Linked DNA regions of Diceros bicornis minor. The protein of the gene in region 2 interacts with the protein of the main gene of each other region in a biochemical or structural test. Links are inferred from orthologs where the notes say so. Each region holds a gene or a part of one and is shown on either strand. Other genes may lie near its edges. The genes, in order: SPN, MSN and ICAM3.

What was found.
Region 1: the proteins of MSN (region 2) and SPN form a complex in vitro, tested with the Homo sapiens proteins (2 studies listed by BioGRID). The link is inferred for Diceros bicornis minor from reciprocal best matches to the Homo sapiens genes MSN and SPN.
Region 3: the proteins of MSN (region 2) and ICAM3 form a complex in vitro, tested with the Homo sapiens proteins (2 studies listed by BioGRID). The link is inferred for Diceros bicornis minor from reciprocal best matches to the Homo sapiens genes MSN and ICAM3.

What each region holds. Positions count from the first base shown.
Region 1 is NC_080765.1:21,570,624-21,581,107, forward strand, and holds SPN (leukosialin), read left to right. Parts: upstream 1-6,908; 5' UTR 6,909-6,993; intron 6,994-7,377; 5' UTR 7,378-7,393; coding exon 7,394-8,626; 3' UTR 8,627-8,633; downstream 8,634-10,484. Other genes in the region: QPRT (nicotinate-nucleotide pyrophosphorylase [carboxylating]), read left to right, coding at 9,169-9,322. UniProt on the Homo sapiens protein: Predominant cell surface sialoprotein of leukocytes which regulates multiple T-cell functions, including T-cell activation, proliferation, differentiation, trafficking and migration.
Region 2 is NC_080781.1:59,306,022-59,316,659, forward strand, and holds the start of MSN (moesin), read left to right. Parts: upstream 1-6,176; 5' UTR 6,177-6,356; coding exon 6,357-6,368; intron 6,369-10,638. UniProt on the Homo sapiens protein: Ezrin-radixin-moesin (ERM) family protein that connects the actin cytoskeleton to the plasma membrane and thereby regulates the structure and function of specific domains of the cell cortex.
Region 3 is NC_080769.1:8,852,800-8,863,732, forward strand, and holds the start of ICAM3 (intercellular adhesion molecule 3), read left to right. Parts: upstream 1-6,769; 5' UTR 6,770-7,039; coding exon 7,040-7,118; intron 7,119-7,708; coding exon 7,709-7,972; intron 7,973-10,787; coding exon 10,788-10,933. UniProt on the Homo sapiens protein: ICAM proteins are ligands for the leukocyte adhesion protein LFA-1 (integrin alpha-L/beta-2). ICAM3 is also a ligand for integrin alpha-D/beta-2. In association with integrin alpha-L/beta-2, contributes to apoptotic neutrophil phagocytosis by macrophages.

The DNA.
Region 1 (10,484 bases), on a different chromosome or scaffold from region 2:
CCAGGGTTACGCATTCAGTGACTGAGCCTGGGGCTGGCCCCGGAAGTCTGGCGCCAGAGCCTCTTCCCTTAACTACCGTGCGGCTAGCTGCGCCTGACACCGATACTGAACATGACCATAGAGAGCTATTATTTAAAGTAACAAAAACAACTTTAGTTTTAGTTTACAATGGGCTTAAAAAGAGGGAAGTTGCTGACCTGGGAGGTGGGATGGGGCCAGTGGGTCAAATGCTCTTCTATTAGAGCTGGAGCCGAGTAGCTTATGGCAGGCAAAATGAACACATCAAAAAATAGCAGAATTAACATCTTGTTTAGGAATATGGACTCACCAGAAGAAGTGAAACTAGAATAAGTTAAAAGAATTAAAAGTGGTTCCCTTCCTGGGCCATGACTTGGGAGGGAGAGGGGAGGAGTACTACCGTGCATGATAAGCCCTCTGTGCTCATAATATGCATTACTTTGATAAAAATTAAGAAAAAAATTATGTTCAGTGAATAAATTAGTACATAAACATCTCTCTGACTAGATGGAAATTTCCCCAGAGGACAGGGCTGCCCGCCTTGTCGGTGCTGTTCCTCGAGAGGGTTGTGGATGAGAAGAAAGGGCCCTAGGCCCTGAAGCCAGTCCAATCCTGTAGCCCTGGGTTCTGACCTGGAGGATCAGAATGAGACTTAACAACTCGTCTCTTATTACATCAGCTATTACTTATTAGGCTCTTACTAAGGGCCCCACACTATCTAATTTAATCCTCCAAGAACTTTGAAAGTAGTATTATTATCCTTATTTTACAGATGAAGAAACTGAGGCAGAGAGATGAAATGACTGAGCCAAGGCCACTCAGACAGTAGGTGATGCAGCTCAGGTGGCCCTGACCCCTCTTCTGTGGCTTCCCTGGGCTGGGGCCTAGGGGCAGGGAGGGGCAGGCCCCCTTCCGCCAGCTCTTGTGTGCTTTGGTGTCTGCAGGAAACAGCCCCTCAAAGACCTGCAGGAGGTCAGAGCTGCAAGTCCAAACCCTGGTGGGGAGCAGGCCTGGAGGGAAGAAATACCTTCACAGAACACAAGTTGGTTGCATCACTACTGAGCATGCACACCTCTGATGACCTCTGATGACCCCCGATGACCCCCTGGAGGTCTGTGGGCTGGGTGGCGCCCTCAGAGCTCGGGCACACCCACTGCTCACAGCCTCCCACCCCCGCCTCGCCCCTCTCAGGCCTCCTTGCCTTCACTGGTGCTGGCAGTTCTTCAGCCTGATGCCCTCTTCCTTCTCTCAGCCAGAGAACCTCTGTTGAGCCAATAAACATCACTGAGCGCCTACTGTGCACCAAGCACAGCAGCCAGCAGACACACACGCATGTGCTCAGGGAGCTTACGTTCCAGTGGGGGCAGAAAGACAAAACAAGAATGTAAATGACACGGTATATGAGAAAGTGGGAAGTGCTGTGGAGAGAAAGCAGGGCTGGGGGATGGGGCGTGCAGGCCAGGAGGACGAGGCACAATTTTAAATATGGTGGCCAGGCAAAGCCATACTGAGCAGGTAATCATTTGAGGGGACCACAGACTGCACGGAGGCCCCCAAGGCTTGTATTCTACAGCGACAAAGTGGAGGCCTGGGTGGCAGGAGCAAAGGGAATGAGGGCAGGAGAGGGAGGGAGAGTCAGATGGGGTGTGGCTTTATCGGCCATTGTGAGGACTTGGGCTCTTACCCTGAGTGGGGTGCGAGCTGTCTCAGGGTTCAGAGCAGAGGAGGGATAGGTCGGACATTTGATCCAGGCTCCTCTGACTGCTCTGTGAAAAAGATCCCGAAGGAGGAGAGGTCACACAGAGGGGAAGTGGTGCACATTCCAGGTGAGGAAAGACGAGGCTTGGGCCAGAGGGGCAGCAGTGAAGGTGGAGAAGAGTAGTCAGGTTCTGGATCTTTCTATCTTTTAGTATGTGGTTTTATTTTGAAAAGTTCAAACACAGAAAAGTTGCAAAAATAATACAACGAACACACACAGGTTCTTTACATGGTTTCACTACCTATTTTTTTTTTCTAAATAAACATGTCCCGTTATACGCCTAAGCAAATAATAGATGGGTGGTGGAATTACATTTTCGGTATGGCATCTGGATACATCTTAAAAACTCCGTAGTTCTCAGAAGGCTGTCTGGATCCTCTTTGTTCTTGACTTTTGGGAAATATGATGACCCCATTCAGCCTTTTTGTTAATGGCTAACTAACCAGAGGCCTTTCTTTCTTCTTTTATGAGCACCTGAGAAGAGAATTAAGATTTGCAAGCCACGCATTCCTGCTTTTTCATTCCATGGTTGAGCTCTTCTCAAATATCAGGTCAGGTGCTAAATAGAGGAAAATGATGGCTCAGAAAAATGTTAAAATATATTAGGGGCTGGCCCCGTGGCTTAGCAGTTAAGTGCGCGCGCTCCGCTACTGGTGGCCCGGGGTTCAGATCCCGGGCGCGCACCGACACACCGCTTCTCCGGCCATGCTGAGGCGGCGTCCCACATACAGCAACTAGAAGGATGTGCAACTGTGATGTACAACTATCTTCTGGGGCTTTAGGGTAAAAAAGGAGGAGGATTGGCAATAGATGTTAGCTCAGGGCCGGTCTTCCTCAGCAAAAAAAAAATTAAATTAAAAAAATGTTAAAATAGATTACCAGTTTGTTATAAAAAGATACAACTCAGGAACAGCCAGATGGAAGAGATGCAGAGGGCAAGGTATGGGGCAAGGTATGCAGAGCTTCCATGCTCTCTCCACGGGCACCACTCCCCCCTCATCTCCACGTGTTCGCCAACCAGGAAGCTCCTTCACTACCTCATTTTGCCACATCTGCTTTATTTTTATCTCCTATGTTATTATTGTTATTATTATTATTATTTGTGTGGAACTATTTAAGAGGAAGTTGCTGCATTGTGCACCTTCACTCCTACATACTTCAAACATGTATTTCCTGTGGACCAGGACATTCATAAGCATAATATACTTATCAAATTCAGGAAAGTTAATGTTTTTTGTGTTTTTTTTTTGTGAGGGAGGTCAGCCCTGAGCTAACATCTGTGCTAATCCTCCTTTTTTTGCTGAGGAAGACCGGCTCTGAGCTGACATCTGTTGCCAATCTTCCTCCTTTTCTTCTTCCCCAAAGCCCCAGTAGATGGTTGTATGTCATACTTGCACATCCTTCTAGTTGCTGTATGTGGGACGCGGCCTCAGCATGGCCAGAGAAGCAGTGCGCCGGTGCGCGCCCGGGATCCGAACCTGGGCCGCCAGTAGCGGAGCACGTGCACTTAACTGCTAAGCCACCGGGCCGGCCCAGGAAAGTTAATGTTAATTCAGTACTATTGTCTACTCTACAGTCTGTATTTGAATTTTGCCAATTATCCCCATGGTGTCTTTATAGCATTTTTTTTTTCCTAACCCAAAATCTAATCCAGGATCCCATATTGTATCCAGTTGTCACATCTCTTTACTCTTTCAAGATCTGGAAGAATGTCTCAGACTTTCTTTGTCCTTCCTGACACAGACATTTTTGAAGACTACAGGCCAGGTGTTTTGTAAAACATCCCTCAATTTGGATTTGCCTCATATTTCTTAACAATTGGATTCAGGTTCTGCATTTTTTGCTAGGATTACCACAGAAGTGATGTTGTGTCCTTCTCAGTACATTATATCTGGAGCCACCTGATGTTGGTTTGCCCCATTACTGGTGATGTTAACTTTGATCACTTGGTTAAGATGGTGTCCGTTAGATTTCTCCACTGTAAAGTTGCTACTTTTCCTTGGTAATGAAAACATATCTTGTGGGGAGATACTTTAAAACTATAAAAATATCCTATTTGCACCCCCCTTGTCACCCAACTTTCACTGAATGGTTTTAACACCCATTCTTAGCTGAATCCATTATTATTATTGTGATTGTAAACTGGTCATTTTTAAACTCTACATTCCTTCTACAATTATTAGCTGGCTTTTCTATTGTAAAAGAACTTTTCCTGCTCTTCTTCCTCCTTTGCACCTCCCCTGCTTCCTCCTTCACTCTATGTCTCTCTCTAATATTTTCAGAATCAGTATGAGCTCCTAGGTTCTTTCTTTATTCAAGGTGTTAATCCAAAATGCCATTATTCGTTTTGATGCTCAAAGTCTCCCTGCTTTGGCCAGAGGGAATTCTTTTAAGCTGGTTCCTTGTCCTTTTGACAGCTTCCCATCATTCTGTGAGGACTTCCTTAATATCTGATGCAACAGATGTTCCAGCCTCATCTTGTGCTTTCCCTGCCCCAGCCTGGAATCAGCCATTTTCCAAGGAGTCCTGGTTCCTCTCCAAGGAGAGTGGAATTTAGAAGCCAAGATCTGGGTGTCAGGTGCTGGCCCCATGTTGAAGGTAGAGATAGCAGAATTTACAGACAGATTGCATGTAGGGTATAAGAGGAGAGGAGTCCCTATTCCCTTTAGCTTTTTAAGACATTGCTTCTCTGAAGTCTTTGCTAGACACTCTCTAAGGCTGAATCTAGCCCGTATTTTAGCAAGTATTCTATTATTTGAATTATTAATACACAAATATGTCTCTAAATGGAGCATAGTAATTAAATATCAGACACTGGTACTATCTGGGAGATATTTATCTTTGGCCTTGGGCCCTTACATCAACCTGGTTTTGAAGCTCATCTCTAGAACTTGCTGGTTGTCTGAGCCTTGGCAAGTCTCTTAGCTGTTTTGTTCCTCCGTTTCCTCACCTGTAAAATTAGAGTAATGAGAGGTATCTCACAGGGTTGTTCTGAAAAGTAAATGCTATTGGAATGTAAAGTGCTTGGCACTGAGTCTGGCCCATTCTGAACGCCGAGGGCAGGTAACTTAACCTCTCTGTACCTTGGCTCCTCACCTGTGAAATGGGCTTGCCGTGAGAAGCGGCTGGAATCACACACAGAGAACCTTCGGCTGTGGACCTGGTAAACGGTGAGTGTCAGTCCGTGGCTACTGCTACCAGAGTTTTCTAAGTATTGGTCTTCTGTGATGTCTTGAGGGCAACAACAGCCCCTTGTTCATACTTTCATCCTCTCTCTTTCCACTCCAGGCTCTACAGTCTGTCCGGTCAGACCCTGTTTCTTGAGTGCTTCAGGCCAGAGCCTGGACCCATCCACAGCCTCTCAGCTCTTCCCAGAGTCGGGGCCTGACAGAGAGCCTGAGGAACATACAACTCTGTCAGCAGCAATTTGGTTGAAACGACAATTTTGTCAAAAATGAATTTTGCTTCAATGATTTTTTTAAAGATTGGGAAATTGGGGACCTTTGTGCAGTCTTATGAACATTTTTGCCGATTTTCTAGAATTAGAAAAAATTGTTTTAACCTCCAATTACTTTGCAGCCAATTATTCCTACTTTTCTGTTTACAGTAGCAAATTGTTGAAACAACTTAAATATCTGACAATGGAATGGTTTCCTTTCTTCCTTTCTTTTTCTTTCTTTTGTTCAGTAAAAAAAGAAAAGTGCAGAACAGTATGTATAATAAAATCTAATATAATAAAATACATGCACGTATGCATATACCAGCCACTGTTACGGAGTGTCTCTCTGGTGGTGGAGGTATGGAGCCTTTCACTTTATACTCTCCTGACTGCTGGGAGAAGCAATGGACCACAGCCTTGAGCATCCCTGCACACTCTGGATAGTAGGCAAAGAATGCAAGGTCCTGGCCGCTCCATATCCAGGCCATTTCTCAGGGTGGTGTTTGCAGTGAGTAACTCTGAGGGATGAAGTAACGTCTCCCTTCAGGACAAACAGCAGGCTTGCTTCCCACCTGCTCGGAAGGAGGGAAAGTCCCCAAGCTCAGTGTTCCTCAGCTGTGGGATAAGCCCCTCGGTGTCACCCCTGTGGGACTTGAGGGCAGGGGGAACTAATGCAAACATAATGCTCTTACTGCTTGCTGTGCGGTGAGTAATGGATTCCTGTGTCTCTGACCCGGGGTCTCATGTCTTTGTGTCAGACTAACTCGGCTTGTGAGTGGGCACGATCCCGGGCTCCGACACTGGCTTGTTTCAATCATCCATCACATACATGTATTATTACTTTTATAATATAAAAATCAGTTTTGATTTTTTTTAAAGAAAGGCAAAAAACAAAACAAAACAAAACCAAAAAACCATACACACACCAAAAGTCAAAGCTTACAAATTAGAGGAAAGTCAGGAAAGAGCAACCATCTAGAGAAGACAATAAAGTACTCATACTTATCCAAAGAAACTTGGTTAATTCCAGACTGCTTCCATCTTTCCAGTCTGTCAGACTGGAAACTGTCTTTCCAAACTGTTTTCCATGTAGATTCCCATATCTTTATTAGTCTTCTACAAAAATAAGATCATAGTGTATGCAGTGCTTAGTTACCACCTTGAGTTAGTTATGCAGTCCACAACTGGGGGCTATTGTAGTGACCCCCAGCTCCTTGAGAAGTTGTCAAGAGCTCCTCAGGGATCACACACAGCTTGAAAAGGCTTTCACTGCCCCCAGCCAGAGTCGGGGGCTTCCTTTTGCCCTGGTACTTCCCGGGAGCTTTTGGGGCAGTGCCACCCTGGTTCCTGGCCTAACAGGTTGGGGATCACAAATGCAAAGAAACCACCTCCCCCTCCCATCTCCTCTTCCACACCCCTTAGCTCTCAAGCATACATTCCCATCACCCCCGCTCTGACCCCTATCCTTATCCCAGCCTCACCCCTTGCCATCCCATTCCCCAGCTAAGACGCAGGAATCCCCATTCTAGATCCCCCCAATCCCCACCTGCCTCAGCTGAGACCCCAGACACCCTAGCACCATCTCAGACTCCGGAAAGAGATGGTATGGCAGCTGTGGGAACAGGGCGGGTGGAGCAGGATGCTAGGGTGGGGTGGGGTGGGTGGAGCCCTGGGCCACTTCCTTTCCTCCTGGGGCCCTGTCCGCTCAGTCCCGCCCCAGCTTCAAGAGGAGTTGGAGCAACCTGGCCCCAGCCCTGTGCCCTTAACAAGTGAGCTGGTAAGTGGGTGCAACTTGGTGGGGCAGGGGCCTCTGTGGACCTGGGAACGTGCCTGTGGCCTGACAAGACCCTGATAGGTGATGGGAAAAGAGGATCAGGAGCCACTGGGGCTGAATCGGGTCAGGAAAGGCCAGAAGGCATGGCCATTGCTGGAGTCCAAGCTGTCAAGGCCTGAGCGGGGGCCATGGGATGGAATTGATGGGGGACCTGCCAGCATCTGTTCCCTTGTTATTTCTGATAACAGTAAAAGGAAGGGTGGAAAAAGCCGTTAAACCTCAAGTTAGGCCCGGCAGTTGGCAGGGAAGTGGGCAGGAGGGGAGGGCCTGGTTAGGTCCTCCCCCAGATCCTTATGTGTTCTGTTTCTCCAACTTCCCCACCCTCAGGTCCCAACTCCTACTCATGCCTGTTGCCATGAAAATGACTCTGCTTCTCCTCCTCTTTGGCGGCCTCTGGACCCAAGAGGTGAACTCTCAGACTCTGGCGAGCACAACCATGTCGCAGATGTCTGCATCCAGAAATTCCCCTATTTCTTTGGTCTCATATAACACTGAGGCCCCAAACCTCAACTCAGTGACCTCCAACCCTATAACAACAAGGGACTCAGAGAAGGGTGATGGCACCAGGTACCAGACCTCCCCACTTTCTTCAACTCCCTATACACCCAAAGAGTTGTCCATTTCCGGGACTTCCACTGCTGCCAGCAGTGGCTTCCCCGTCTCAGAAAAGGATGATGGCACCAGGTACCAGACCTCCCCACTTTCTTCAATTCCCTATACACCCAATGAGCTGTCCATTCCCGGGACTTCCATTGCTGCCAGCAGTGGCTTCCCCGTAACTGAGCCAACAACCTCCCAGGAAGTTTCCACCAAGAAGTCATCAATACTCCTGGAAACCCTTAATGAAACCACTAGCCCTGTGGTACCAACGATGAGCTCTGTGGACCTCCACATTACGACTGTTGGAACCAGGGTACCTAGCTTTCTGGAAACCTCCAGTGTGACCAGTGGACCCCCTGTCACCATGGCAACTAGCTCTCTGGAGACCTCCAAGGGAACCAGTGGACTTTCTGTTGCCATGACAACTATCTCTCTGAAGACCCCCAAGGGGACCAGTAGCTCCCCCAGCTCCGCAGTAAAAATACCCACCGGGACTACCTCAAACACCTCCACAATCGCAAACAGTGGTGAGCTCTCAAATCAGGGAACAAATGGCACCCTGCTGGTGGCTGTCCTTGCAGCCCTGCTGGTGGTCATTGTCCTCTTGATACTACTTGTGCTGTGGCGCAGGAGGCAGAAGCGGAGGACCGGGATCCTGATGCTAAGCAGGGGTGGAAAGTGCAATGGGGCAGTAGATGCCTGGGCTGGGCCAGTCCAGGAGAATGATGAGGAGGCCATGACAGCAACAACGAGAGTGTCTGGGGGCGACAAGAGCTCTGGGGTCCCTGAAGGGGAGGGGTCTGGCCGGCGGCCCACACTCACCACTTTCTTCGGTAGAAAGAAGTCTCACGAGGGCTCCTTGGCACTGGAGGAGCTAAAGCCTGGGTCAGCCTCCAGCCTAAAGGGAGAGGAAGAGCCACTGGTCGGCAGCGAAGATGGGGCTGTGGAGGTCCCCGATTCTGTGGGCCAAAAGTGAGAGATGTGGAGGCCCCTTAGCGCTTGTGAATAACAAGACTGGAGATCAGAATCATTTTTAGCTTTCATCACCTTCCCTCCTATCATCACTTCCAGCCCCATTGTCACCCAGCATCCTTTGGATTTTCACCCAGCATCTTCACTCCGAATCCTCATCCAGCTTCTTAACCTTGGATCTTCCGGCCAGCATCTGCACCCAGCATCTAGGCCAGGGCCTGCACCCACTTAACACTTGTAGACTGAATGCATAAGCCTTCCTCATCAACCCTTACTTCTCCCAATCACCTCTTTCTCCATGTTTTTGTCCTTGAAACCAGCTACTGGCTCTCCATAATGCCAAACTTCCTTGACCTATGAGTTCTCAGAGGATTCCCCAGCGATACCAGAGTCTGGGAAGAAGGAAATGACAACCCAGCACATTCTTCCCTAGGATTACTCTGGAAAGTACATTTGGACTCATAGATTAGGACAGTCCTACTGGGTCAGCCCATGAGCCTCCTTTAACTCTGGGCCCCAGTGCTCTGTGCCAGGCCAGCCTGGAGCATGGGCTGGGTGGCGTCACCTCGCTGTGCTCTCAGGTGTGCCTGTGACAGTACCTGGACTCTAGGCTTGCCTGTGGGCCAGGCCACTGAACTCTCCCCCACCTCCGGACTGAGGCAGCCAGAGGCTTCAGCTATTTCTCCTCCCAAGGGCAGAGGTAAGAGGAGTTTCCGAGCAGGTGCAGTTCTCAGAAGCCCCAGCACCTATGTGGGTCCATTCACGGGTGCGGTTTGTGAAGGGTGGTGGTGAGTACAGACGGCGTGAGGGGGGCAGGCAGGAAGGGCTGCAGAGGCTGAGGAGATGCCAACCTGAGGAACCGCTGAGAACGTGTGTGCCCTCATCTTTGCTCAGCTGGGGTGGAGGCAGTAGAAGATCAAACTCTGTCTGCAGCCCAATAAAGAACGCCGGCTTGATAGAAAGACTGCATGTGTGACCCGAGTGTGGCTCTTCAGCTCAGCAGATGTGTCCCTTCCTCAAACCTCTGCCACTCCAACACGAGGCAGGGGGAGAGGAGACCCAATAGCAGGGTCTTGCTGATGCTGTGACATGTTTAATTTGTTTGTCTGTATCTCCTCTTCCGTTCTCCAAGGGGAATCAATGAGAGTGAGCTAAATGAGGAGTAGTGACAGGCCTGTAGAACCAGGGGCTTCCCCTGTGGCTCTGGGATGGACAGGAGGGGACAAGACCCACCTGCGCTGTCTCTGAGTCCTGCCCAGACCAGAGCCCAGGGGGCCACACGGGCCACCGGCAGTTGGTATTTCCCCAGGGGAAAGGAAATTTGCAAAGAGGAAGTCGTTGAGTCAGAGGTTGCAGTGGCCGAGAGCAGACAGACTGACCTACAAAAAGACAAGCTGATGGGAACCGCAGGAGTGTGACTGCCATGTGGCCTGGACTGGCGGGGAGGCAGGAGATAGGGAAAGGGCTCTAGTGGGTCAGTTCATGGTGGGGATGAGGGGGAGAAGAGGCGGAAAGTGGTCATGGATCCACCCGGCCGCCATGGAGTTGTGCCACCTGTGCCTGGTCCATGGGGACAGGCAGAGCTAGGGCGAAAGTCCACCCCTCGCCAGTCAGGATGGGCACCCACAGGGCCACGTCTGGGCGCCTTTGCCGCCTCCTCACAAGATGCAGTCTGGGCTAACTGTAGCCCCAGCACAGCAGAAGTGAGCTCCAAAGGTCCCTTAGGGATACCGCAACTGTCTTAGATCTGTCAAACCAAGGGCCCCAATTTCAGGTTTAGAAAACATTGTCACTGATCTGAGGCCTTCAGCTTCCCCCCTCCCCCTCACTGGACACATGCAGTTGTTTTCTGAACCATGACT
Region 2 (10,638 bases):
TCCTTATGAGGTTGATTATTCGGACTCAAGCACAATCTTTACATTCGTTCTACTTTTAAGCTTTACCATCATTTGGGCTTGTCGTAAACTTTGGATCCAGACTTTGTTGCCCAACCTATCTACATTCTCTCTCAGGTTCTTTTTTTCCCTTCCTTCTCTTTTACCACCTCTTATTCCTCTTCTTCCTCCTCCTACTCATCTTTCCTTTTTTTTTATCATTTTATATAATTACAAAAGTAATTCAGACTTATTAAAAAAATTAAATAATATAGAAATACATATATCAAGAAGATAAATTCTCCCTTTACTCTCCTCTCTAATCCAGGTCCCCTCTCCAGAGATAACAACTGGTATCAATTTGTTGTGAATCTTTCCCCTTTTCTGGGGACTTACAAACATGTATAAAGACATGACATTTTAATTCATAAATGGTATCACACTATTCATATTGTTCTGTGACTTCATAGTAAATTTAAAAAATGCTTTTCACGGTAGTTAATGCTTTTAAAAGGCTGAACAGCATCCCGTTGTATGGATATACCATAATGTATATAATCAAACCCCTTATGATAGATGTTTAGGTTATTTCCCTTAATTATTATAGTATTGCAGTGAATGTCCTTGTAAATGCCTCTTTGTGCACAGTAGAGTGTTTCCCTAAGGTAGCCTGGTAGCAGAGCTGGCACACAAACACACACAAACACACACACACACACACACACACACACACAGAAAGAGATAGAGAGGAAAAGAGTGAGAGTGAGTCGTGAGTAGGGGGAGAAGGAGTAACGAGATAGGAATAGGAGGCTCTGTTCCATTGGTCTTGTCTCCTAACTGGAAAACTTGAGGCAGTGTAAGAGGGAACTTGAGCCCTTAGAGAATTGGACATAATACAAGTTGATAGACCTGCAGGGCTTGGCATGAGAATGGCAGATCCCTCTCTTCCTCTGGTCTAGCTGAACCACCTGTCCTGAGCTCCAAAGATATGCCTGGAAGTGTGCTGGGCTCCTTCTGCCTGGAACACAAAGTGTGATCCCTTTCCAGGAGCAACTACAGCTCAGCCTGGAATGGAGGAAAAGAAAAAAAAGGAGCAGTTGACAAGACAAAGCAGGATGTGGGAGGGAGGCCAGATGAGCACTGCAGACCTCGGGCACTACAGGAGCTGGGGAGAGGCAGAGAGCAAAGGAGGGCAGGAGAGATCAAGAGAGGGCTTTGTGCAGAGACAAGAGCGAGCACGCCGTGCCATGTGCATGTGGTGAGAGTAGCCTGGCTCAAGGGGAAGGGCTGTGCCGAGGAGCTGTGGGAGGAAGAGAAGGCTGTAAAGGTTAAGTGTGTGTGTTGGGCACAGGGGGTCACTTGATAACTCTGAGTGCAGGTGAAGGCTGCATTTCTGAAGATCACTGTAGTGCCCGTGTGGAGGGTGGCCATGTGGAGGATGGCCTGGGTGGGGCAGCCCGGAGGTAGGGAGACCAGGGAGAGTTGGTGAAGGCTGACCTAGGGCACTGGCAGTGGAGAGGGGAGGGAGAGAAGCTGTGAGGGACAGACAGAGAGCAGGGCTTGGTGACCAGATCACAGGGGTCAGGCAGAGGAGAGTTAAAGATGATGATGTTGTGCACACAAAGGACGGTGCTAACAGCAAAATCACCTACAGATATAGAGCTATTGGGAAGGAGAGCTCCTGGGGAGGCAGAGGGTGAGCACCCCTTGCAGAGCCTCACATAGTACCGGGCACCTAGCAGGCGCCTGGTCACCGTGGGAGGCACGGGTGGGGTGGACAGATGGATAGTTTCCTTCTAGGTGTATTGAGTTTGAACTGTGGGTCGTTCATGAAGGGGCCATATGCTCAGTGGGCTGTTTTCTCTCTGGGCCCTGCAGGCAGACTGGCCACATATGTGTAGTCTCTGGTCACTGGTTGCTGGTTACTGGGGGCAGGGCTGGGAGACCCTTTCTGCAGGGCTAATTTCATATTCCAAGAGGACACTGGCTCAAATTGAATTGATATTGGCTGTCTGGGGGAAGCTCTTGAAAAGCTTTCAGCCTTATTAGAGGAAAAGCCAGAGAGGAAACACTCTTCTCTCTCACTGTGCTCCATTAGTATGATTAATAATAAATATTCCCAGGTACTTGATATTGGCAAGACACTGTATCACTGCTGTTTGTTATTACGCACCCGCTATTTTGAGCTGTCTATTCTGACCACTGAGATGCAGGGGTGATACGAATCTTAAAAGGCATCTCCTTCCTCGGGTTTGTCTGGTCATGGCTCGGAACTGAGAAGCTCACAGGTCAGGTTGGTGGAAAGAAGGTAGACTTTGGACTCACAAGACCTGGGCCCAAATCCCTGTTTCACCACCACCAAACCATGTGACTTTTGGATAAGTCACTTGACTCCTCAGAGCCTCAATTTCCTCATTTCTACCTCTAATGGTTCTTGTTAGATATTGAAATGGCCTCTCCACTGCTCAGCACATAAGTGCTTCATTACTGTTATCTTCTCCTCTTTCACCCAAACCCTAGCTTTTGTTTCCAAGAAGAGGGTGGAAGATTGAGGACGGCTAAAAGCAAGATTTCTCTACTGCTTCAGTTTGTACTCTTAGTCATATTTTACCAAGAATACCTCTTCCCTTTGAGGAGACATCACTATATTCTTCTGCCTATTTTCTTGTTTGTGTAAAGGGTACAGCTAGTCTAGTGTTTGGCCTACTGACCCAGGGGAAAGAAGAGAGAGAGAAGGCCTCAGAGTGTGTGGCCTCAAGCTACTGTTTGTCCTCATCTCTCTGACACATTTCTCTTCTATGAATAGAGGAGAAGAGTAACCTCAGAGGTTTAGTTAATTCCTTTCTCAAGCATCAGCCAAGAGCAATTGTGCTGAGTGAAGCAAAAGAGATCTAATTTAGATGTAAAGAAGGACTTTCTAATAGTGATGAAAATGAAAAGCAGCCCTCAGAAAAGTTCTGAATGATGGGGAACTTTCAACTGCTACCATCCAATGGATTGAGGTGAGGGTGCTTTTTTATCCAAAGCAACCCTGGGATTCAGGATGGTTCCCTACTTAGTTCTTCTCTGGTATTGCCTCTCCTGCACTATTGTGTCCTCTGAAGAAGGAATGACATTTAGACTGCAGAAGCTTCTTTATTGCAGTGAGCTTAGATCTTGGGTGGGAGGTGATTAGAAGTCCAATCTCATTTCTCTCTTGAGCTTGGTGTAGGCTTTCACATTAATCAGCTTTATGCAGTTGTTGCTTGCCATTCCCTTGACTTTGACATCAAGACTTACTTCAGCTCCAGAACAGTCCAAGCCCCCTAGGGATCCTGAGCCTTTCCACCTGGACCCCATGTCTGACCCTAAAGCCCAGGTCAAATCTTCTCCTTTTGCATTTATTACTCCCTGATTTAGATGCTCCTAGCTTCATTGGATTCCAGCTCCAGAACACCCCTGTACCACTCTCTGCTCATACTGGCCCTCACCTAGCTTTACTGCTTGAAAAATACTTGCCTGTTCCTCCTTGAACTTTCCAAATTCAGCTCTTCTAAAAACACAGGTGTCTTCATACCTTTTACTTCCCTCACCCAGGGTGCCAACATGTGTGGGAATGCTTAGCCCTTATTCCCATGTCTTCCCTGTCCAAACACTGGCATAAACCTCATCATATGAAAACCTAATTGTGGGGATCACTCTGGCCCCAGTAAGATTGAGCTAACTCTCATGGGATCAGGGTAGGGGGTCGGGGGAGATCAGAAGTTCTGACCATATAGGCATGAAGTGTTTTACAAAGAGGTAGGAAACAAAGGAGTGTTTTGTCAGCCATCTTGAAGAACAAGAGAGCACCTCAGCTGCCTCTGTTCTGCTCTGGAGACAGGTGAATAATTGAGATGGGTCCATCTTAGTCAGGGGGTTTCAAGTCTAACCTTCGAGCAATGTCCAGCAGCTTGACCATAATCACCATAACCAGCTTCCGTCTGCTGAAGTGGGGGAGGGGGCACTACTCCCCTTGTTCTAGCCTGCAAAATGTTTTGCTTGTATTATCACAACAGTTTAACTGAGCTCTTTGTCTTCTCTATTACCCCCTGAATCCATTCCCCACACTGGTTGCCAGGTCTTGGGTAAGTCCTTTGCTCTTTTTGATCCTCAGTTCCCTTGACTTGAATGGGGGCTGGATTAAGCTATCTCTCATAGTCTATGCTTTCCACCCATTTCCCACTCTTCTCCTCCCTAGGGGGGCAAAACCATCCTCTCCCAGCCTGTCTTTCCATCAACTTCCTTAGCTTCCCCACCCTCTAACCTCCCTTTCCCCACTTGGACTCCTGTGCCACTTTTCCCTTTGAATAGTGTATTCATCTACTTGTCACTCCCTAATCAGCTCTCTTGTATATTTGTTGCGGGGGGTGGTATTGGCATGGGCACGTGGGAATGACATACAGGGGGTTTCCACTTTCCAGAATAAATAATGAAAGCTGGAGTCTCTAATTAACTTTCCTTCCCCCTGTAGGCATTTAGCCTAGTTCCAGGCCCCTGTGGGCTCTAGGAGAACATGAATGAGGAAATCAGTGAGTTCTTTGAACTTCTGGGAGAAAAGGACCATAGCAATGTCAAGGAATGTGATTGGTTGGCATTGCTACCCCTGCTGCTGAGGCTTTTTGAGGAGTGCTGCTCTTCCTTGAGTCAACCACTCAGCTCAGGGAAATGATTTGGGCAGGCACCCTCGTTTACCCTAGCACACATCAATGAGGCTTGGCAGCAGTGAGAGAAACTGAGGCACATTGACTCATGGACACTGTCGAGCTGGGAAAGCAGAGGAGCACGGAATAGGGCTGCTGATTCCTGAGTGCAAATGCAAGGCCAGGCTTTATGCAACCCTGCTAGACTCATCTATTGTCTTAGCGAGTCTACTTCCTTTCTTGTCCTTTTATAATGTCAGAGTGGGAAAGAACCTTGGAAGCCCAGGAGTCCAGCCCTTTCTTGTTACAGAACAGGAAACTCAAGCCCAGAAAGGGGAAGGGACTTACCAAGGCCACATAGTGGTCACAGGGTGAGTTAATGACAAAGCTATGGTGATCAGAAGCCAGGTGTGTTGATCACCCCTCTCTAATATCATTTCCACTGCCCCAAGTTGGCTCATCATCCCTGAGGTATGTGGCACTCCACCTCACAAAGGATGCTCAGACCATGCCTCTACACAGCTGCTAGTGGATAGGAGAAAAAAACGACTATGGCCAGTCACTTTCAAACTAAAACTCAGACTTAAAAGATAACTGCTACGGTCTAGAACACTGCTGCTCTGTAATTCTGCGACCTTGACAAGAAGTAGAAAGGACGCTGGCAGACACATCCCAAGGGAGTGGACTGGGGGTGCATCTAACCTGGGGGAATTATAGCCTTATCAAAAAGTGAATCACAGAAAATCAGTGAATGTGTTGGGGGAGAGGCTAAAGAATCAGGGCATTAATTTGAAGAAGGTGGAGACTGAGATTTGAAGGAAGGAAAGTGACTAGAGTACAGATATGGGGAAAAGGAGCCCAATTCTGATGAAAGTAAGGATTGAGCATGATGGGGAGGAAATATGGTGGGAAAAGGGATATAGAGTCCTACAGAAGTGAGTGGATGAAATGTTGGAGGAGCTGAGGCAGTTGAGCCAAGAGAAGAAAAGTTTCAGGTGGACATGGGATCTTCAGACCTCTGAGAAGTTGTTAGGGACAGCAGGGGATTTGTGTGGCTCCGGGAGCAGAGCTGAGATCCACAGGCGGAAGCCACAGAGAAAAGGAGTTCAGATACACACGGGAAGAACTTTCTAAGAGTCTTGAGCGGGAACACGCAGTTATAATAGGTAGTGAGCTCACCATCAGCGGAAAGTTGCAGTCTGGGACTGCTTAAGCCTCTGCCAGAGTGCGGCCCAGGGTCCGGCCCTGCTTGGGAGGGGGACCGGATGGCCAGGAGGGCTAGGGTCTGTGAAGGGGGTGCGAGGTCAGGGTGGGCCTGGGTCGGGGGTGGGAGCTCCCTTGGGGCGCCCAAGCCCACTCTGGTCCCTAGGCGGCTGATGTGGCCTGGCTCAGCTGGGCTGGGCGGGACTAGGCGGGGCGAGGCTGGCAGCGGACAAGAAGGCGGGCGCGAGGGCGGGGAGCAGCGCCTAAGTCCCGTCACATAAAGGAGAGGGTGGCGCGACGGGGGCGGTTCTTTCCTGGGTGGAGTTTGTGAAGTCGTGGCCCGTTAGCAGGAAGCCGAGCAGTCGCACCGACGCTAGCGAGGGACCTAATCCGAATCCCCAGTCCCCGGAGTCCAAGCCGTGTGTACTGCGTGCTCAGCGCTGCCCTGACAGCGCCCAGCCAAACTTCGCCAACTCCACCGCCTTTGCCGCCACCATGCCCAAGACAGTGAGTGCTGGGGGTGGGTGCTGCTGGGCCCGGGGGTTCTAGCAGACCCTTGTAGCCCATGGCTGACGGTTGGGGGTTTGCCCAGTCACCCGCCCGCTCGGGACGCCGCGCCCTCCGCCAAGGCCTGGTGTGGGTAGGGGCGGGAGTGGAGTACTGGTCTGGCGCGCCTTCGTGGGTAAGGGGGTCCCGGGCTAGAAGTGTGGACGGAGCGGGGACGGCCTCTTTCTCAGATTCCAGTTCCGTGCGTCTGGGATGACACAATAGGGAAGGCTTGCTTGGGAGCCCGAGGTCTCTTCTTGCCCCTGACGGGCCATGGGCACAGGGGAGAGGACTCTGGTCCGGAGAACACTTCCTCCAGTCCAGGAATTGGCGCCTTTCTGGGGCAAGGCTGTCACTGTCCAGGAGGGGCCACGGGGACCAAGAAGCACGGAGGAGGGAGGGAGCTGCTCAGGGCGGGTCCCGCACCCCCACTCACCTTTCCTACAGCCTCCTCAGGCGGCTCCAGCTGTTTCTCACTAGGAGGGGAGGAGAAAGTTGTGGAGGGACTCATCGAAGCTGCTTGCTTTAACCAAGGAGCTCTAACATTTCACTAGACATGAGACTGAGTAGAGGTCTGCCCTACTTCCTAGGGGAGAAGACTAGTTTCTTCCTCCTCTCCTTTCGCCAAATCCCTGCCCTTCCCATTTCTTAATGGCTCTCTGTCTCCTCCTATCCCCTCCGGACTGTTGTGTGATATGTGGATTCTCTCCTGTGGGGCCACACCTTTCCAGAGTGGTGGTAGCTTCTAGGATTGGTCTCCACCCCACTGGCTGTTATGAGAAGAGCAGAAGCCTCCTGGGAGTAGTGCCTAGTGGGGCCGGATGCCCAGGAGGGAGGGACGGGGGAGGGGTGTGCCTGAATAATGAGCCCTGCTTGCTTTTGTGCAAGTCATGCCAAATGGCCGCTGGGGCCCTTCCCTTGCTCAGGAAGGCCTGGTGACCCCCCTGGCTTGAGTCCCTTAGGCCAAGCAGCTTGTTGCACTGGCCTAGGCTATGCAGTGCTCCCGGACCCCTCTCCCTAGTCTGAGATAGTGACTAGTAGCCTTGAGAATGGCTGAGGGTCCTTGGAGGAGAGAAGGAGTAGGGGGCCCAGTTCTTTGGGTGTGTGCTGAGCTTTGGTTGCCACGTTGCTGTATTCCACCCTTACTGCCAAGTCATTCTTGCCTTTCCAGAACCTCGTCCTTCAGAAACACCAAGTTTTCAACAAGTATGTGCTTCTACCATCTCTTAAATTGCTCACAGTTTTATGATGTGGGGCTTTTCCACACTTGTCCCTCCCTCCCACACACACAAACTGAGAGAATGGTTTTGAAAAGAGAGGGGAAAAAAAACCCCACTGTCTCTGCCAACACAGAGGATTATAAAGATCCTTCCAGGAGCCTCTCTTTGGGTTTATCTCCCTGTGGTTGACTCCTTGACTCCTCTTAAGGTGTGGCTTTGCCTAAATAGGTGGGTGGATCTCTGAAAACAGACTCTGCCCCATGACCTCTCTTCTCTAATGGCATCTTTCATTCTCAATTCTGAGATACCTCACATTTCAACGCAACTTGATGGGCCTGGAAATTGTTCCAAAGTTGCCTTAACCATCCCATTTCAGTGAAAAGTGGCAAAGACGAAAGCATGATGATCTTTTTCCTGGGTATGGAGACAGAATGGAGTATGAGCTGTTTGAAGTCAGACCTAGGGTATTAAAGGTACCTGAATACTGAAAGTATTTTTATGCAGATTGACTGAAGTATGAATCAAATTGGAAGGCAAGGGCTGAATTTTGATAGACTGGAAACTTTGGAGAATTTTCCATGATATTTGGCTCAAGGAATGGTCAACTTTTAGGATAAATAACTATATTATGCCTGTTAGGAGCATAGAATCTTAACCTGAAAGAGACCTCAGAGACTCTCTAGTACAACTCTTTTTTTTGTTTTTTTAACTAGTGGGGATATTTAGGCCTATAGGAAAGGACCTACCTAAGGGCACATGAGGACAGAACCAAGACTTGGGTCCAGGCTTTTTGGTACTCATCCCATTGACCCTCTATTCTGATTCAATGATTGGGTTCATGAAGTTGAGTCCCCTCTCTTGCCCAAAGCAAATTACACCCTGTTCTCAGAGCTTCCTGGTCATCAGATAAAAGAAAGTGGATAATTTGGGCAAAGTAACCAACATTGGCATTTGTGTGGTCTCCTGGTGAGAGTTGAGGGTATTACAAGGTGTCTCCTCTTACTTTTTTCATTCCTTAGGCATCCAGGGGCACACCCTAGTTCACTGCATACCAATTAGTAACTTTGATGGAGGGAGAAAATTCCTTTAGTCTCTTCTCCTTTTTTCGCTAGTGTGCTTTAGGCTATTTCTGTAGTATGACAGATAGGAAAGAGTAGTGGAAGAAGCAAATGTGTTCGTTCATATGAACCATGTCTACAGTCTATCCAGGGTTGGTTTCACTTTTATAGCCAATTGTCTCCCTTAGTCAGCCCAGCCTCCCTTAAATCTGTTAAAATATGCCCCTCTGCACCCCTCCCCACCAATTCTTGGATTTTGCTTCTAGTTGCCAGTTTCCTGAGTCTGTTTTAGTAGCCAGAATGGAGAAGCTTATTAACTGCCATCTACACTTTCTGGTGATGGTAAGACAGTTGTAAAAAAAAATCTTTCCCCGTCCCCATCCTTTTTAACTTTTTTTAGATCACAAAGTCTTTGGTACTCTCTTGGATTCCCTAAAAAGAGATTGTTTTGAATTTTCAAGGTGTTCTTGAGTTTTTGGTTTGTATAGATGAAGAAACTGAGACCCACAAAGTGGGAGGGACTGACCTAGAATGATGCAGTATGTCAGTAGCAAAGCTAGGACTTGAATCTAGGTCTTAGCTAGAGGGTCAGTCTTGGTAAAACTTCTTCAATTTGATAGGGTTTTAGCCCTAGCTCAACAGGTCAGGGGAAAGGTGATCAAGTGGTCATTGATGGGACTATCCATGTGAGCAGATATAGAGCCCAGCTTCTTGAAATATTTGCAAGTTTCTGGGTCTTCATTCAGCTAAACTTTATAACAAGGGTTGTGTGGACTGTTTATTTTCCTGCCATTCCTAGCGTTGCTTGTGCCACTCGAGTGGCACTAAATTGGTACTTGGTGAATAGGAGGCAGAATCTCAAGTCTTTTAACCCTTGAACCAGCCCTGCCACAGACTTCAGGGTGGGGCAAGGGATCAGGAATGGAGGTTATGTGAGAGAGGGTGACTTTTTGATCCTGCATCTCTTCACTTTGGTTCTCCAGTTCACTCAGCTCTTTGTGAAAGTGTACATAATAGAAACAGAGCGGAAACCATCTTGGGGATTTCCTTTAAGTTTCTCCTTGAATAGTCCTTTGTGCAGAGATAGGCTGGTGGGGCAGGAGGGCCTTCGTGGGATCCTTGAATGCACCAACTAATCTATGTATCTCTCATGTTAGGCTTGGAGAGAGGAAAGTTGCTCTGTTGAGTGGGTGGCAGAGGTGGTATTGACCCCTAGTCTGCTCTCCATTATTCTCTAGCTGCCTGTAACAATAGCTTGTTTTAAGAGTGTTCCCCCTTTTCTCTCTCTTCCTCCTCTCAGGAGACTGCTTTATTGAATGATGGAACTAGAAGAGACAGTTAGAGGTGATCTGGTCTGTCTCCCTGCCTTTAAATCCAATTCTCTCTGGATGAGATGAGATGACAGCTACATTTATTCTGAACTCTGATCTCATAGTGTTGCTTGGCAACAGTCTGTCTGGGTCCCTTTGTATCTTCCTCAGAGTCCCCCTCACTAGAATTTCTAGACTCAAGGTCCTCAGAGGGGAGAAGATCTGGCTACCAATACTACAAGTGTTACGCCTTTCGTGGTTAGAGTGGCTGAAAATTGGCATCATTAGAGGTTGGGAACAGTCTGTTTCTGATCTTTCAAAGATAGAACTGAGTTTATCATGTGCTATTTGTACTATCATGTATATTTCTCAACTCACAATCTTTTTTCCCTGCTACCTCACCCTACTCTTCTGCCCCCAAAGAAAAAACATAGTACAAAGGTGGTCTCCTTTGGAGCAGTCTATTGGTCAAGTGAAGGAGGTAGTCTTGTCATGATTGACTGGCTTTGCTGTTCATCCCTCCTCCCATTTCACACTTGATAGAGCTGAAAAACTTTTCAATTCCAGGTTCTGATTTGTGGTACAGGAGTGGTCACTTGGAGGGTTAGCTCAGGACTCCATTGATTTGGAAGGTGGGTGTTGG
Region 3 (10,933 bases), on a different chromosome or scaffold from region 2:
CTTTTTCTTTTGGTGAGGAAGATTCGCCCTGAGCCAACATCTGTGTCAGTCTTCCTCTATTTTGTATGTGGGTGGCCTCCACAGCATGGCTGACAAGTGGTGTAGGTCTGCACCCCGGATCCGAACCTGCGAACCTGGGCCGCCCAAGTGGAGCGTGCCAAACTTAACCACTCCGCCACAGGGCCAGCCTCTGGAGCCTCTTTATAAGGGCACTAATTCCATTCATGGGGGCTCGCTCCTCTTTTTTTTTTTTTTTTTTTTTTTGTGAGGAGATCAGCCCTGTGCTAACATCTGCCAATCCTCCTCTTTTTGCTGAGGAAGACTGGCCCTGGGCTAACATCCGTGCCCATCTTCCTCTATTTTATATGGGATGCCGCCACAGCATGGCTTGAAAAGCAGTGCATCGGTGCACGCCCGGGATCCGAACCGGCGAACCCCAGGCCGCCAGAGCAAAGCGCGCGCACTTAACCGCTTGTGCCACTGGCCAGCCCCCTCTCGCCTCTTGACTTAATTAAGCATCTCCCAAAGCCTCACTTCCTTTTTTCTTTCTTTCTTTTTTTTTTGGTGAGGAAGATCAGCCCTGAGCTAACATCCATGCCAATCCTCTTCTTTTTGCTGAGGAAGACTGGCCCTGGGCTAACATCCGTGCCCATCTTCCTCTACTTTATATGGGACACCACCACAACATGGCTTGACAAGCGGTGCGCCAGTGCACACCCGGGATCCGAACCTGCGAACCCTGGCCCACCGCAGCGGAGCGCAAGCACTTAACAGCTGCGCCACCGTGCCAGCCCCAAGGCTCACCTCCTAATACCATCACATCGGGCATTAGGATTTCAAGCTGCGAATTTTTTTTTATTGAGGTCACATTGGTTTATAACATATAAATTTCAGGTGTACATCGTTATGTTTCGACTTCTGTATAGACTGCGTTGTGCTCACCCCCAAAAGTCTAGTTGTGTCTGTCACCATACACGCGTGCCCCTTTACCCTTTCTGCCCTCCCTCGCCTCCATGTATGACTTTTGAGGGGATGCAGCTTCCGTCATCATGAGCCTGACACAGGCCCCTAAGGGACCCAGGACAGGCAAGGAGCCCTTGGATCCCATCTTTTTGCCTTACCTGGCCCATCCCCTCAGGGCTCACCGTTTCCATCAGCTGGCCATAAGCTCATACAGTCAGGCGCCGCATAACGACGTTCCAGTGAATGAGCAGACCGCATATACGACGGTGATCCCATGGAGCCTAGCTGTGGAGTAGGCTGTACCATCTGAGTTTGTGTAAGGACACCCTATGACGTTCACACAACGATGGCAGCACCTAATGATGCATGTCTCGCTGTCACTAAGTGACCCATGACTCTGTTCTGCTGCTGAAGGCTGTGGTCCTTGCCGCTTCTTCAGTGAGTGTCTGCTCACCTGGGGCCCACAGCTGGAGCAAGACAATGCAGAAGGATCCAGATTCAACAATTAAACATTTGCTCATCTCTAAATGACCAGCTAGCAATTAGACCAGCACGTAGAACACAGAAGGTGCCAAATAACCAGTCGTTAAATATACCAACAAAAGATTTGGGGGGCCGTGTGCCGTGTAGATAAGCCAGCCAATTTCACTCTTTCCCCGCTGTGTGACCTCAGGCAAGTGGCATCCCCTCTCTGGGCCTCAGTTCTCAACTGTGAACTGGGGACGGTCATCTTGCTACCTCGCAGGACTCATGGAAAGAACTAATGAGGTCATTTATGTCAAATGCTTAGCAGACAGACATGCAAACAATTGCTTAATAAACATTTGATATTATTGTTAATCTGGTGTTTGCTGAAGTGTTTCTCCTTACCAGTTGTACTAGAGACGGGCTATGTGTTAGCCATGTTGTGAAAGGCACGGGCTATGTGTTAGCCGTGTTGTGAAAGGCAGTTAAATAATTTCCTTTTTCATAAGCCTTCTCGAAATCTTGCTCATTGCCAGCTCTCCTGACCAGACAGTTCCACACTATTCTAGTGACATTTGCTTTTTATAACAGTTTTCAAAATTAAATATTCATTATAATTATAAATCTTTGTTTTGTTTTGTTTTGTTTTTTGCTGAGGAAGATTGGCCCTGGGCTAACATCTGTCCCCATCTTCGTCTACTTTATATGTGGACGCCTGCCACAGCATGGCTCGATAAGCGGTGTGTGGGTCTGTGCCCAGGATCCGAACCTGCAAACACCAGGCCACTGAAGCAGAGCACATGAGGTTAACCACTATGCCACCAGGCCGGCCTCAATCCTCCTCTTTTTTTGCTTGAGGAAGATTAGCCCTGAGCTAACGTCTGTACCAATCTTCCTCTATTTTGTATATGGGACGCCACCACAACATGGCTGACAAGTAGGTCTGGCCCCGGGATCCAAACCCCAGAACCCAGGCCGCCGAAGCAGAGGGTACTGAACTTAACCACTAGGCCACGAGGCTGGCCCATGGATACATATTATTGACTTAGGCAGTGAAAGTCTCTCGCTGTGCATCAGCCACTACTGTCGCCTCTGGTTTCCTGTTTTTGTTTCCAGAGACATTTTACCCAGATAAAAGGAAATCTGTACACATTATACTTTCCCATCTTTTGCAAAAATAGTAACATGTCCTACTATATAGAGCTCTCATCTATATCCTTGTGATTTATTTTTTCCATGTAATAGGTCTTGGAGATGGTCCCACATATCCAGGCAAACAGTTTTCTTGTTCTATTTTATGATTTCATTGTAGTCATCGCTGACGTGTTATCTGCCTTTATTCCCCGCTGGGGTTCCTGTTGTCATTTCTAATCCTTTGCCAGGCCCAGGATGGTGCTGTAGTGAGTAACCACATGCGGACATCATTTCACCCACGTTCAAGGGTATCTGTAGGACAAATTCTTAACAGGAGGGGCCGGCCCTGTGGCTTAGAGGTTAAGTGCGTGCGCTCCGCTGCTGGCGGCCCAGGTTCGGATCCTGGGTGCGCACCGACGCGCCGCTTCTCCGGCCATGCTGAGGCCGCGTCCCACATACAGCAACTAGAAGGATGTGCAGCTATGACATGCAACTATCTACTGGGGCTTTGGGGGAAAAAAAAAAAAGGAGGAGGATTGGCAATAGATGTTAGCTCAGAGCCGGTCTTCCTCAGCAAAAAGAGGAGGATTAGCACGGATGTTAGCTCAGGGCTGATCTTCCTCATAAAAAAAAAAAAATTCTCAATGGGAATGGCATTTAGGATCTTGTCTGGTAACCGGGAAAATACACTGCCCCTAGAATATGTTTTGATATTTGATAAGGCAGTTCTCTCTCTCTCTCTTTTTTTTCCCCAAAGTTATCTTGGCTTACCCTTGTGCAGCTACTTTTTATTTATTTATTTATTTATTTTGTGAGGAAGATCAGCCGTGAGCTAACATCCATGCTAATCCTCCTCTTTTTGCTGAGGAAGACTGGCCTGGGCTAACATCTATTGCCAATCCTCCTCCTTTTTCTCCCTTTTTCCTCTCTAAAGCCCCAGTAGATAGTTGTATGTCATAGCTGCACATCCTTCTAGTTGCTGTATGTGGGACGTGGCCTCAGCATGGCCGGAGAAGCGGTGCGTTGGTGCGCGCCCGGGATCCGAACCCGGGCCGCTAGCAGCGGAGCGCGCGCACTTAACCGCTAAGCCATGGGGCCGGCCTCAATTACGGACAATTTAAAGCATATACAAAAGAAGGGAAAATAATGTAATGAACCTGTGCTTACCCAACAGGCGGCATCAAGTTTGCAACACCCGTGGCCAGTCTTGTTTCAACTCTCCCCCACCCCCGCCCCGCCACGAGGTCATTTTGAAGCAAATCTCAGATATATCATTTTGTCAAAACTTCCATCAGTATCTCGAAAAGATGTAACCACAAACAGTAACTACAAAATCATGACCGCCCACAGAAAGTTGAATGATAATTCCTCAACATCATCGTGCAGCCTCAGTTTCAATTTCCCCAATTGTCTCTTAAATATTTGGTGTGTGTTTGTTTAGAGTTTGTTCAAAGAAATATCCAGGTCCGGCCTGTGGCTTAGCGGTTAAGTGCGCGTGCTCTGCTACTGGCGGCCCGGGTTCGGATCCCGGGCGTGCACCGACGCACCGCTTCTCCAGCCATGCTGAGGCGGCGTCCCACATACAGCAACTAGAAGGATGTGCAACTATGACATACAACTATCTACTGGGGCTTTGGGGAAAAAAAAGGAGGAGGATTGGCAATAGATGTTAGCTCAGGGCCAGTCTTCCTCAGCAAAAAGAGGAGGATTGGCATGGATGTTAGCTCACGGCTGATCTTCCTCACAAAAAAAAAAAAAGAAAGAAATATCCAGACGATCCACGCACTGCATTTGGCGGAGGGCGGGTTCCTTTAAGTTCTGGATTCGTCTTCCTCTTTTTTTTCCTCCTTGCAACATCCTTGTTGAAGAAACTAGGTTGTTTGTTCCATAGACTTTTCCGCTGTGGCGTCATCTTTGTGGTCGACTTGAATGCATTCCTCTGTCCTCACCTTGACCCACCAATGGTCAAGTTCAATTTCCATTTTTTGGCAAGACTCACAGAGGGCACTGTGCCCTCTCCGCAGGAGACACTCAGGGTCAGCTTGTCCCTCCTGTTGTGACATGAACAGCCACCCAGATCCATCAGGGATGCATTTTATTTTCCAACATTTTACTCTGAAAAATTGCCAACATATAGAAAAGTTGGGAGAATAGTACAGCAAACATCTCTAAATTCCACCATCACCCAGTTGCTAAATTTACCTTATTATGCGGTATCTGTCATTTCTCTGCCATCCATCAATCCATCTCATATTTTGGATACAAATCAAAATAGGTGGATGTCATTTTTTTCCTGTGGTGAAATATACATAATATACATTTTACCATTTTGACTATTTTTAAGTGTATGATTCAGTGGCATTAAAAACATTCACAATGTGTGTAATCAATACTATTATTTACAGAACTTTTTCATCTTCCCAAACAAAAATTTGTCCCCACTGGACACTAACTTCTCATTCCCCTCTCCTCTCAGCCCCTGGTAACAACTGTCTACTTTCTCTAGGAATTTGCTATTCTAGTGTCTTCATTTGAGTAGAATATTTGTCCTTTTGTGTCTGGCTTATTTCGCTGAGCATGATGTTCTCAAGGTTCATCCATGTTGTAGCACGTGTCAGAATTTCATTTCTTTTTAAGGGTGAATGGATGGACCACTTTTTTTCTGTTGTTTTTTTTTTTGACAGCAGCCATCCTAATAGGTGTGAAGAGCGATCTCACGTGGTCTTAATTTGCATTTTCCTAATGGCTATGTTACCGCACAAAATTGGGGTCCTCTTGCCCGAAGCACATCAAGAGGCAATTACTGAGGCATCAGCTTTGGGAAAAAGACACCAGCTTTATTGCTAGGTTGATCTGCAAGGAGACAGGGGCCTGTGTTCTCAGATCTGTCTCCCCAATCCAGGGCTTGGGGCACAATTCATGGGATGAAGGGCGGGGCTGTCTGAAGCGCAGAGATAGATGGTTGGAGGAGAGCAGAGGTGAGGTAACTGATGATCTGCGCAAGCGCGGTCAAGCTCCGTGGCTCTTCATGTTCACAAAATAGTGGCGGTAGCATGATCTGAGCGTGGAGTTTTCAGCCCTTGGACGTCAAAAGGGTCACCTATGGGTCATCCTTGCAAGCCCAGTTGATGAGCTGGTGGTCTTCACCAGCCTGAACTGCACAAGGGGTCTCAGGTCCTGAAAAACCACTCTCAATTACTCTTGATGAGATGGGGTCAGTTGAACTGGTCCTGGAGGGCCTGTGGTTACAGCTAGTGAGGTTGAGCATCTTTTCGTGTGTTTATTGGCCATTTGTACAGCTTCCTTGGAGACATGTCTATTCGAGTCCTTTGTTCGTTTTTGAATCGGGTTGTTTTGTTGTTATTGACTTGTAAGAATTTCTTTATAATCTGGATATAAGCCTTTATCAGATATATTATTTACAAATACTTTGGATTTGGGTTTTAGTTGCTCTCTCAGCACCGTGCAGGAAATGGACTGGGGGGCCAGGCAGTTGACTGGAGGGGGGAGGTGCCCCAGGTGAGGCAGGAGGGGGCGTGGCCTCAGGGATGGGGAGAGTGGATGAACGCCGGGTGTTATCGACGCCCTCCACAAGGTCCCTCTCTGGAGCTCAGATCAGAGGCACAGGAGGCGGGTCAGAGGCCTGAGAGATGGAAGTGGGAGTGCCCACCTGACCCCCCAGTCCCTTCTCTTGGGATGAAAGGACCAGCTGCCCAGAGGGGAAGGCAAGGGAGGATGAGACAGGGGACAGGGCCAGTTACAAGTAGCATCCTTGACAGACAGTGGTTCAGATTTCAGCTGTCTCCCTGCCTCAGCACTGCACACGGGGCATGGGCGGCCCCAAGATCTTCAAAGGGAAAGGGCCTACAGGAGCCACTCAGGTGGTCAACACAGAGCTGGGCACCCAGTAAATGTGGGCGCTGTTCATTTTCATGGCTTCCCTCATCTTACGGGTCCCTCATTATCATCCCCAGATCTCTTAATTGCCCCCCAGGAATGTTGAGATCTCATGCTAACCCCTTGAGGCCCTACCTAGAAGTCCCTTCATTTCCCCCTGAAATGTTGCCTTGAAATCTCATCTTATCACCTCCAGGACAGTGCTTGGAGGTCCCCCATAAGTTCAGCTGGAAGGAGGTGTCTCATCTCCCTCCACGGCCCCCCCAGGCTTCGTAGTTCTGAGAACAAAGGAAGTTGATTGTGTTCCACTTCCTGTGAGTTCATTTCTGGACCAGCAGTGTAACTGACGTCTGCCCTGCCAGAGACTCACCAGCACCCTCCACCTTGCTGGGCCCTACCTAGGTCCCCCACTCTGGACCCCCGGGGTCACAGAGTATCCCCCTGCCCCTCCCCAGGCCTGAGCAAGGGGCAGCCCCTGGACTTCTGCAATCCTCACCACTGTGGCTGCACTTCCGTCCCCTGGGCGGCTCCGCCTGTTCCCTGCTGCCAGACGCCTTCCTCCCGCAGGCTGGCTACTGTGATGCCCTCAGGGCGACTGCCTGGGGCCTGCTGGATGTCGCTCGTCTTCCTGCTTCTCATCGGCTGTCTGCTGCCCGCAGGTGAGGAGAGTCAAGCTGGGGAAGGCTGGAGTCGGGAGGTCAGTAGAGAGAGGGTAAGAGAACAGAGAAAGCAAAGCTCTCCACTTCCTGTGCCCTGGCCATCTCGAGGACTTCCTGAAACTCAGATCCGACAGGGGCTCGAGAGAAAGTTGTGTCTCCTTAACGCAGCCTCCAGGGCTCCCCGAGGCGCCATCCCTGCATGTAACTTGTTCCCTACCCCCAACACACACACACACACACACACACTCTCCCAGCTCCATGTAGCCCCTCGATGTGTGCCTATGCTCTTCCCTCTGCCAAGACCTTGCTTCCCTTTCATTTAGCTAACGCCTACTTATCCTTCAAAACTGGCCATGGTCGTCCCCTCCTCCAGGAAGCCTTCCCTGACTCACTCCCTCCTGTAGTTTGGATCAGGGTTTCCTTGGCCTTCCTCCAAACTCTCCCCAGTTCCTGATCCATCATCCGTCTTCCCCACTAGACTAACGCACCCTGAAGGCGGGGACCATTATACCTGGGCATGAGGTGGGACCTGAGGATGGGGGGTTGGGGGGCACCAGAACAATCACGAGAGTTTCTGTCTCTTCCCGCAGGTGTCCATGGGCAGTACTCACTGCGATTTGAGCCCCAGGACCTAGTGGTACCTGATGGAGGGTCCATCTCGGTAAACTGTAGTACAGATTGTCCCCATCCTCAATCCTTCCATCTGGAGACCTTCTTACCCAAGAAGTCGCTGGGTCAGGGCTCGCGCTGGGCAGCCTTCCAGCTCAGCAATGTAACCAATGACAGCCAGATCCTCTGCTCCAGCTTCTGCTACAGCTTCCAGCTGTCAACCTCTTCTAACATCACAGTGTACCGTGAGTGGACGTGCCTGGAGGGAGGAATGGCCTTGGGTGGTGGCGGGGGGGTGGGTAGATGGCCAGTGGTGCAGGGGGAGCAGAGGCCTGGAGTTTGCAGGAATGGACCAGGGCTCTGACCCAGAGCCTGGACCTGGATATGTGTGTGTGTGTGTGACAGACAGAGGTAGAGACAGAGACACAGAGAGATACACCTCAACTGTATGTCAGGCCAGCAGCTGTGACATCAATTTATTTGGGTCCTAGCAAGCATTTTTAAAATGACATCTCTTGGGCCGGCCCTGTGGCTTAGTGGTTAAGTGCGCGCGCTCCGCTACTGGCGGCCCGGGCTCGGATCCCGGGCGCGCACCGACGCACCGCTTCTCCGGCCGTGCTGAGGCCGCGTCCCACATACAGCAACTAGAAGGATGTGCAGCTATGACATACAACTATCTGCTGGTGCTTTGGGGGAAAAAAAAGGAGGAGGATTGGCAATAGATGTTAGCTCAGAGCCGGTCTTCCTCAGCAAAAAGAGGAGGATTAGCATGGATGTTAGCTCAGGGCTGATCTCCCTCACACACACACACACAAAAATGACATCTCGCATCTTCTAGTTATTACTTTTACTTTTATGGCAGGTAATCAATTCATGTGGTTCCAAAATCAAAACAGCATAAAAAGCTGTAAATTTCAAGCCTCCATTTGTATAGCGCTGGCTGCCAGCAGCTGCTGTTTTATTTTTCTTCGTGAGGAAGATTAGCCCTGAGCTAACATCTGCCAATCCTCCCCGTCTATTCTTGAGGAACACTGACCCTGGGCTAAACCATCCATGCCCATCTTCCTCCCCTTCATACAGGAGGCCGCCTCAGCGTGGCCTAACAAGCTGTGCGTCGGTGCACGCCCGGGATCCGAACCCCGGCTGCCAGCAGCGGAGCGAGTGCACTTAACTGCTACGCCATGGGGCTGGCCCCTGTGGCTACTGTTTTAAATGTTGACTTATTCACTCCTTACAACAGCCCCGGGGTGGGGAGGTTCTCTTATGAGCCTCATTGCAGATATGGAGACCGAGGCTCGGGGGGTCAAGTCACGTGCCAGCGCTCACAGCCCACGAGCAGAGCAGCTGGCAGTCTGGTTCGCAAATCCCTGTCTGTAACAGGCTAGGTCTTCCTCTCCAGACTCTGCGTCCCCCTGTTACTGGTTTCTTATGGATCCTTCCAGACTTCCTCTGCATTTAAAAGAATACAACAGGGCCGCCCCGTGGCTTAGCGGTTAGGTGCGCGCGCTCCGCTGCTGGCGGCCCGGGTTCGGAACCCCGGGCGCGCACCGACGCACCACTTCTCCCGCCATGCTGAGGCCGCGTCCCACATACAGCAACTAGAAGGATGTGCAGCTGTGACACAACTATCTACTGGGGCTTTGGGGGAAAAAGAAGAGGAGGATTGGCAATAGATGTTAGCTCAGAGCTGGTCTTCCTCAGCAAAAAGAGGAGGATTAGCACGGATGTTAGCTCAGGGCTGAGCTTCCTCACACACACACACAAAAAAAACACATTAAAAGAATACAATAGACTAGGAAATAGCAGAGAACACGGTGCCTACTGTTTTGGGAAGCCTTGAGATTAAGTGTAGTGTACGTGTGTAATCGCGTAGGCTCCTGTGTGTGCGCTGGTATATTTGTGCTTGTGTACTTACGTGTGTGTCCGCGAGTGTATGTGTCTGTGTGAGTGTACGTGTGTCTGTATATGTGTTGTGTCTGTATGTTTGTGTGTGCCTGTGTTTGTATCTGTGAATGCCTATGAACTTATGTGTGTGTCTGTGTGAGTTACTGTGTCAATATCTGTGTCTGTGTATGAGCATATGTGGATGTCTGTGTCAGTACGTGTCTATGTATGTCTTTGTATCCGTGTGTATTTCTTTGTAACGTGTACATCTGCCTGTGTGTACCTGCGTGTCTATGTGTGTGTCTGTGTGTCCCTGTCTCTGCGTGTCTGAGATGCCTCTGTCTGTGCTCTGCGGGAGCCTGTTGGTCCTGGCTCATAAGACCCCACTGTGCTTATCTATTCCCAACTCCGTGTCACACTGGGTAGCTTGAAATCCGCCAGAGTGGGAGTATTTCCATGGGAGAAATTGGCAGATGCTCCAGGTCAGGGCTCCCCTGCTCCACCCTGAGAGCCCAGGCATGATCAGCATACCACTAGCCCTGACGAGTGGTACCCCAGGTTAGCGGAGTCCAGGCCAGAAGCTGGGAGGAGGGGCCAGAGGAGTCCCTAGACGTGACATCAAGGAGGCAAGTGGACACATGAGTCTGGAGTTTGTGAGACCCAGATTTTAACCCTAGTTCTGCTCCTTCCTGGCTGTGCATCCTTGGGCAAACCACCTCCCCTCTCTGGGCTCAGTTTCTCCATCTGTAAAAGGGAAGGATGATAGAGGAGATTTCACTGGGCTGCTGTGTGAATGAAGGTGGATGACATCTGGAAAGTTTAAGAAAAGCTCTCAATACACAGGAATTTTGATGATTACTATTAACCTCATAAAGGAGTCATAAACGTTACCTCCTCTTCCTTTTTTTTTTTTTTTTTCTTAACTGTGAGGTTCTGGGGAACAGAACATCTGACTTTTATTTCAGTGCCTGGCAAGGTGTCTGACAAAACAGGAAATAATCATGATCCTAAGGACAATAGCAAACACTTATCCTGGCAGGGACTTAAGCCCTCTGGGTTTATTAATTCAAAGTTCACAGTTCCACGCTGGGCAGGCCACCCTCGGCTCCTCTCCACTCCCTAGGGTGGGGGCTGCAGGGCTGGCTGGTAAGTGCTATTCTTCCCCCCCCACCATAGGGTTCCCTGATCGCGTGGAGCTGGCCCCCCTGCCCCCCTGGCAGCCCGTGGGCGAGAACCTCACGCTGAGCTGCCAGGTGGCGGGCGGGGCGCCCCGCGCCAGCCTCACGGTGGTGCTGCTCCGCGGGGAGGAGGAGCTGAGCCGG